Oryzias latipes: one gene and its partner. The protein of the gene in region 1 purifies or fractionates together with the protein of each later gene. This does not show direct contact. Links are inferred from orthologs where the notes say so. Each region holds a gene or a part of one and is shown on either strand. Other genes may lie near its edges.

Region 1 (3,707 bases):
TATGTCAGTGATACCTTAAGATCTTAGATGCTCTTATGGTGGTTTTATTTCTTATACAACCTTAAATTTACTCTCACCCGCAGCACGGCACCTTGCGGAGATGGCGCTTTGTTCGACAAGTCATGTAGTGAGACGGGAGATGAAGTCCAGGGCCACTCGCCTCTATTTGAGAACATCAAGCAGGGCAAACTTCGAACGAAAGTGGAGAATGGTGAGATGTCTTGTCATAAAGGAAGTACAGGAGAAAGCAATTCGACTTCCTGTTCTTGGTAGTAAGAGATCCTGTTTCCAGGTGAGGGAACCATCCCAGTGGAGTCAAGTGACATTGTACCCACTTGGGATGGCATTCAGCATGGTGAAAGGCTGCGAACCATGAGCTGCAGCGATAAGATCCTGCGCTGGAACGTGCTTGGCCTCCAGGGGGCACTGCTCACACATTTCTTGCATCCCATTTACCTGAAGTCAATCACCCTTGGTAATTATGGACTTTGGCAAAAATAGTCTTGAGACACTAATGTTCTGGCACAAAAGTCACGTGAACACTGCTTTTTTCTACCGACTTATTTCTTTTTACTCATCTTCCAGGTTATCTGTACAGCCACGGTCATTTGACCCGTGCTGTCTGCTGTCGCCTTGCCAGAGATGGTGAAGCCTTTGCACAGAGTCTGCCCCATCCCTTCACGCTGAACCATCCCGAGGTAACGGCACAGCTAACGGACACTTGCAGGCCTGGTGATAAATTAGGACCATCGATGTTATTCTCATTAAGTTAATTGATGAAGCACTTTTGTTTGTCCTGCAAAACGTTTTTCTCTATCATGTAAATTAGATTCATTCATCAATTAACTGAAAGGACCTTGTCACATCACCAGAACAAAAGAGAAACTGAAGTTGCAGCCAAATTACTTGTTAGCTTTTGTTTCATTGTTCAGGGGGTGGGTGGGGGTGGGATTATATAAACTTGCTTCTTCCCACTCCTTTTCAAGCAATAAATCAAATTCTACTTATACTTTAGTTAATTATCTCTGTATTTCATTAAGCAAAGGTGATTTAAGTGATGTTTTTGTTTTGTTTTATTTTCTGTCTTTTTAATCTATGCATTTCATAATTTCTGTTATGAGTTTGATAAATATGTGTAAATTGTTTATTGCTTTGACTACGATGCTTGAAATAAATCAATAAATCAAATCTACTGGTAAAGCTAATTTGCACATTTTGATTGGTGTCACTCATGCTTACAAATATTTTGGGTTTTTGGATTAAAATCAGCACGGTTAACACTTTTTTGCTTTGTTTGTGGCGACTCCAGGTGGGAAGAGTGAGTGTGTACGACTCCACGCGTCACACAGGCAAGACCAAAGAGTCCAGTGTGAATTGGAGCCTTCCAGACCAGTACAATGTGGAAGTCCTTGATGGGACCAAAGGAAAACTAGATGGGTATGTCCTGGGTTAAGTATAAACCACGGACCTTCTTATGGTTTTAGGGATGTTGGAAAAAATCGATGTAGCCAAAATCATTTTTAATTAACCTTTTTACTCTAGAGCTTCTGCTTCAGTGTTTACGTTCTTTTAACTACTGTAACTCTTCAAACGTTTATGCAATTAACGTTATTCCAGCTAATTCTATTGCTGAGAGAAACAGTTTTACGCTGTTATGCAACACTTTAGTAATAAGAAAAGCCGATAAGAAACTTTTTTTTTCGATCACATGAATGGTCGTGGAGTTACGGTATGTCAAAGAGCGTGTTATATATGTCACAGCCCCATCTTTACTATTTAAGGGTTAAATATTTATAAGCAAATATTTAGGCTTCCACGGCGTGCGTTAATTTGTGAGGATGCACACTTTAACATTACTTAACCCTCTCTTATCAAGTTTATAGTTTTGTTTATAGTTATTTATAGTTTTGTTCACATGAAAGATGTATTAATATTCAGAAAAAGTTGTACTCTTTCAAAAAAAATTGTGATATATTGTCTTTGGATATATCACATTGGTGATATGTTTATGGTGATGCGAATCTCATCGCCAGACTCTTGCCAATGCATATCCCTAATGGTTATCCAGGGCTGTGTTGCGGGGTCCTCAGTCTAAGCCAGGGGTCCCCAAATCCAGGCCTCAGGAGCCGGCCTCCTGCTAGTTTTCCAGAAACTCTTCCTTATCTGCTGTTGATTACAGGTGTGTTTAGCCAGAATGGAGCTTCACTGGCACGATGATTGCAAGCATGTAGGACACCGGCCCTCGAGGCCTGGATTTGGGCACCGCTGGTCTAAACAGATTCTCAGCCCCCCTTTCCACGTACACTTCCTCCAGTTCTACTGGAGGAACCCCATGGTACTCTCAGGCCAGACATGGGGACAGCTCTTACCTGGGGCCTCTGCCCAGTGGCACATGCCCCCAATACCTCCACTGGCAGGGCTCTGACAGCCATCCTCTCTGGCATGTCTTCATTATGATTCTCTTTCCAGCTACTTCACACTTGAAGGAAAAAAAACACATTATCATATATTTGCAGCAAAAAGGGATTTACGGAATGAAGACAAGTTTCAAACTTAAAAACCAAAATAAAGATTTTCATTAAAAAAACGTTAAAAACAAAAGCAATAGTTTCACCCTGTTACATAATAAAGCATAAAATGACTAGATGGGATAGAATAGAAACTGAAATCAGTGAGGAATTGATATTTGTCTGCAAAACATTTTCAGCGATGCCGAGTCATGCATGGCAGGATGCTGGCTCGTCAACATGATCTGAAGAAAACCACAGATGGCAGCATTGCTTTGCTCTTGTTTTATAAGAAGTGAATTTTTCCTTACAAAAGATGCATATTATCATGAAAACAAAATTCAAATTTAAGTTATTTTGTGGGTAGTTTAGTGTAGTTTATTCTTTTTTTCTTTTTGTTAAGTAATTCTACCTTTTTTTTGAAAAATTTCCTAACAAATGTGGAGAAAGAGTTTTCTTAATCCTAGCCACACACTGACCCATGAAAAGAACAAAACTGACATTTTAGGTCATGATAGAGTCTCACTCAGCAGCACTAAGTGTAAAAAATGTATCAGTGTATGATTTTAATGAACATGCCTTTTTCCCCCGTTTACTTGATTTTCATTGTTAATCAGTAACCTGCTAAAGTTTTGTTCATTATCTCCCCTGTAGGAACAAACAGTCGGTGTCCCGGGTCTCCAAGTCCCGTCTGTTCTGCCTGTTCCGCTCTATGTGCCAGAAGTCAAATCGCGCTGACCTCCTGTCCCTGCCCTCCTACGCTCAGGCCAAAATATCAGCCACATCCTTCCAACTTGCCAAACAACACTTCTTTCAAGCTCTCAGCGTCCACGGCTATGGAGCCTGGATCGGCAAGCCGCTGGAAGAGAAGAGCTTCGAGTCTGTGGAGGGAACGGGAAACAACGGAGCGTGCACCTCTGTGGAGTTTGGGGGCGGTAGAAACGAGGGGGCAGTGGATTACAAGCCGGCAGAGGCGTAGATCAGTGCTTTTCTTTTCTTTTTGAATGAACATGCAGGGATTAAACGGGAAGGAGAGATGCTGAAAGGGTTAAAGATGTGTAGGCCAGGAAGATGGAATGATGAAAGGCAAGGAAAGTTGGAAAGGCATTGGCCAAAAGTTTAGAACAACCTACAAGTTCATACAGAACATTGCAAGCAATTAAGCTGGTGAAAAGTTGCAAATGAAAGTTAGAGTTATTT
Region 2 (4,455 bases), on another chromosome or scaffold:
TGGTACAGCTGTCGCACCAACGACAGCGCGCACGACTGCGCTGCCAGCTTCTTGTTAGATCCGTGTTCGCGGGCCGTGATCTCTGTAAACAACACAGCACAAAAGGGGCGGAGTCATCTCTGACATCACCCGTAGGATTCTGCACAGCAGTAACGAATCAAAATCGATTGGTTTTTGTTGCATCCACCTCAACAGGGTTGAAGGCACAATGGGGCGGGAGAAAGTAAACTATTCCTATTTGAGGGGTGATTCGTTTGTTTCATATTTATTAAAAGAATTGGTTTCTGCCGGTATTAGTCTTTTGTCATTTAGTTTTAAGAAAAATTTCAAAATGCTAAAAAATACAAGCTTTCTGATACTTAAAACACAAGAGAAAAGGTTTTCTATTTGTTAAGGAAAGCACCAATTTCTATTTACTGGCTCTGCTAAAATAAGCGTAAAGAATCTCAGCACAGAACCGTCTCTGTGGTCTCATGTACAGACATGTCAAAACTTACTTCTGCCGAGCTTCCTCACGAACAGCTGCATCTCTGCTATGAAGCTCCTGCAGACAAATAACATGGCAGAGTTACATCCCGTGCCTTTCAAAGTAAAAGCCTAAAGCCAAGCATCCCTCAGGAGCAGACTCACCTGATGTGTCCTCAGAAAGAAACCTGGGCGTTTTTCTGCCAGACTTTCAGGTTTTAAAGCCTACAATGAAGAGCAACACCACAAATCACGACCAGAGACCACGGAGCTGCACCCATGGGGGGGCTTTAGAGAACCTAAACGCCATCCCCATGTATTTCCTCAGCGTGGTCGTGAGTTCTAGTGTCGCTCTGCAGGCTTTGAGTTGAGCATGTGGCTGTGAGGGCTCTCCGGTGTAGCCGGCACACGCAGGAGCTCTCTGGGTTTGCAGCAGTCCGGCAGAAAAACACACAGGTGCTACCAGTGAGCGGCGGGCCCAGGAGTGTGGCCCCTTTCAGAGGAAACATTTACCAACCCGAGAAGCTGCAGCTTTTTAATTAGAGTTCATTTGTCAATACCCCACTCTCCCACCCCCACCTGACAGATCTGAACAGCAGAAAAGACCAGATCCAGACTGACGAGAGACCTGGGCTCGTCAGGCTGGATCTGGTCAGACGGCTTGTAGGGGAGCGCTGATCCAGACCTGTTGTGATCGGGTCCCACTTGGCTGTACGTGTACTCGGAGGTGATCTTCTCCTGCTGGAAGAACCGGTTGAGACGGGCCTTGGCGTTCTCCAGGGTCCAGTTTCCGTGCAAGTTTGCATTCAGGTCTACCTCCTCGGATTCCAGCGTCTACAACAGGAGAGCCGCATTAGTGGGACCGGTACTAAGGCAGAGCAGTCCCACCTGTTATGAAGCCGCCTAATGTTGTCACAGTCATGTGACTGCAACATGTGACAACACAGCTCAAAAGGACCGGGATCTTCTTGAAAAGCAGCTTCATGGCACATAGCTGGCTCCAGTACCGCTTGAGCCTCCTGCTCATCCCTCCGGGCGTAGTACTCCTTCAGGTTGGCTCCTCTGTCCCACTCAGCCCCTCCTCCTCCTCCCCCATTGCCACCTCTAGGAGGGAACCCTTGTTCAGTCTGTCCTGGAGGTGCATTGATGAAGGCATCAGCCTCTGAAAACAGAAACCACAGGATGAAGAGGACTGAAGTCAGGGAGCAGCAGGTTAGGTGTGTTCGGCTCAAACCTTTCTCCACCTTCACCACCAGGTGGGGGGGCAGCGGCCCGCTGGCTGGGAGGGTTCCGAAGCTTCCCGGAGGTCCTTCGGGCTGGTTGGGTTCTGGAGCCACGGCCTGGGTAGAACAACAAAAGGCCGTCAGTTCCGGTTAAGTGTTCGCTGCCCACTGGTAAACTTTTGACTAATCCTTGCAGTCTCCCAGTCTTTATGGATCTTGACTTTCTAAATGGTTTTCTGTTCTGGCCTGAACATAGCTGGATGCTCTATTGATTGGAAAGATGTTCCTCTGGTTTGCTTTGTTTTTACATCTCCTTTAAAAAAGCGTAAAAAAAAGCTTTCTGACCCCCAGAGCTGGAACCTCTTCAGCCTTCATCTCCCCGACTCGGACCAGATAGTTGACAAAGTCCCTGGCGGCGTTGGTCTGAGCATCCTTCTTGCTGGTGGAGTTTCCCATCCCCACATAGGTGAAGCCATCCACCCGCACCTTCAGGAGCAAACAGAGACGTTACGGGAGAGTCTGGTTACAAACCAGCTGGCTGTGAATGCAGACCGACCTCACACATGAACTTCTGCCGGTTTTTGTTGCCCGCCGCCCGGATTTCGTAGTTGGGAGTCAGCTTTTTCTTTCCACACCAGGCGTACAGGAAATTCTTGATGTCCGCCATAGTGGCGAGCTTCCAGCTCCGCGTGGGCTTTACCTGCGAGCTTCAGGTGTGCCCTGGTCCCTTAGTGTTGCCTGTAAAACACAGAGGTGGCTCTGAACAACCGCAGAATCACTGGCAGGCGTCACATCAAAACATACAGTGTTGTTCAGGAAGCTACAGTAAACCGCTGCCTGCGTGCGTGTCGTAAAAGAAACCCTAAACAGAAAAACATATGTGCGCCGACACACACACAGGGAGAAACGATAACAACACTAACGTTACTAAGTCACGGGGGAAATGTTTGACCGTTTTTATACTTCAGCTAGCCACGTGCAGCTCCTATCATCAAGCAATAATGTGATCCTCCATGCAATATTTTTCCCCAATTGATCCCACATTGAATCATCAGTTGCAACTGAGACAACTACAACGAAAATGCTAGTATGCTAACGTTAGCTTCATTCATCAACCGGTGTAAACGTTGACAGACGCATTGAGGCTAAACTAACTAACGCCAGTAAGACACGAAGTACGTATGCAAAATAAATATTAAAAAAGCAAACATTTTCATTCTAACATCAACGACTACATTCAACACCTACCGTCCGCTCAGTCAAGTCTGCAGTGCAGATTCCTGCAAAGCGGCAACAGCGGAAGCTTTGAACTCTTCTACCGCGCAACAGCGCCACCCTCTGTTCTGGAGGTGAAATGAACTGTTAGCTCCTGGCAGTGAGTTGATCCTTTTTTATCAACGCCCCTCTGCATGATGATTTTTTTTATTCTACTGGGATGAGAACTAGATTTCTGTCTTTTGTCACTCTAGTTGGTTTCCTTTACTCAAATTACATTGTGGTTAACATCAACCCATTGTCCACAAGGATTATAAGTGGCCACTGTGTCATAAACATTCATAAAATCAGTGTAAGTTTTTGTTGTTGTTGCTGTAATCAAATTTAAATTATTAAAATTATTCCAACCCTGCGAGAGACTGGCGACCTGTCCAGGGTGCCCCCTGCCTTCGCCCACAAGTGGCCGAGATAGGTTCTGGCAGCCCCGTGACCCCGAAAGGGAGCAAACGGAAGAAGATGAATGAATGAATGAATGAATGAATGAATGAATGAATTAACGAATGAATGAATGAATAAATGAATGAATGAATGAACGAACGAATGAATGAATGAACAAATGAATGAACGAACGAATGAATGAATGAATGAATGAATGAATGAAAGAACGAATGAATGAATGAACAAATGAATGAACGAATGAATGAATGAACGAACGAATGAATGAATGAACAAATGAATGAACGAACGAATGAATGAATGAATAAATGAATAAATGAAAATTTTTCACAATTTCTCCTTCATGAATTCAATTCAGCATTTATGTAAGTTCCATAAACAATCAGAAGTTCAAATTTCGAGTAACAACTATGGAAATATTAATCTTGCTTCTGTGTGATTCATATTTGGAGCACGAAATATGGACTCCAAATGTAAATTATATTTTAAATCAAGTCAACAAAAACCTTTTATTTTGTTACGTGGGATGTTCCATTGTTTTTCTCACGAATAAATTTTGTTTTAACAAATCAGTTTATTTTTATAAAACAAAAATCTTCAAATGACCAAATCCTTGTCTAATTTCTAAACTTCTCATCTGATTTTAATTTAAGAAAAAACCAGATCTCTCTTATAAAATGACATAGCTGTAACATGACCTGCATTGTAAGGTTTATTAGCTTAAAACCATAGATTTTTATTTCATTTTTATTTTTTCAGTGTCAACCGAAGATTTAATCTACAGAATCTACAGAAAATCTGTCCTGTTTATAGTCCTGATAAAACCAATAGTATGAAATAGAATTGCACATTTTTGCTGCTCTTTGTTTACTGCTGTAGACAGGAACCTCACAGGAGAGAAAACCACGCTTTCTCTATCCATATCCAGTTTTTTGAGGTGGTCAGTCGCTGAGCAGAGTAGCCATAAACGCCTGTAGAGGCTCTGGCAGAAACCTGCTGTAGTCACAGAGACGGTGAAACCAGTGTGTCTTGTTCTAAAGCCCCATCTTACATATTCTGTCTTTTCTTTTCAGATTCAAACACTGATCCAACCAAC

What was found.
Region 2: the proteins of adar (region 1) and dhx9 purify together in Homo sapiens (affinity purification with western blotting; 3 studies listed by BioGRID and IntAct, with this or other methods). This does not show direct contact. The link is inferred for Oryzias latipes from reciprocal best matches to the Homo sapiens genes ADAR and DHX9.

The regions. Positions count from the first base shown.
Region 1 is NC_019874.2:18,636,860-18,640,566, forward strand, and holds part of adar (double-stranded RNA-specific adenosine deaminase), read left to right. Parts: intron 1-83; coding exon 84-211; intron 212-292; coding exon 293-475; intron 476-585; coding exon 586-698; intron 699-1,309; coding exon 1,310-1,437; intron 1,438-3,161; coding exon 3,162-3,486; 3' UTR 3,487-3,707. UniProt on the Homo sapiens protein: Catalyzes the hydrolytic deamination of adenosine to inosine in double-stranded RNA (dsRNA) referred to as A-to-I RNA editing.
Region 2 is NC_019875.2:12,671,598-12,676,052, forward strand, and holds the start of dhx9 (ATP-dependent RNA helicase A), read right to left. Parts: upstream 3,035-4,455; 5' UTR 2,937-3,034; intron 2,427-2,936; 5' UTR 2,356-2,426; coding exon 2,245-2,355; intron 2,175-2,244; coding exon 2,034-2,174; intron 1,806-2,033; coding exon 1,700-1,805; intron 1,628-1,699; coding exon 1,473-1,627; intron 1,300-1,472; coding exon 1,151-1,299; intron 691-1,150; exon of another isoform or gene 631-690; intron 545-630; coding exon 498-544; intron 83-497; coding exon 1-82. UniProt on the Homo sapiens protein: Multifunctional ATP-dependent nucleic acid helicase that unwinds DNA and RNA in a 3' to 5' direction and that plays important roles in many processes, such as DNA replication, transcriptional activation, post-transcriptional RNA regulation, mRNA translation and RNA-mediated gene silencing.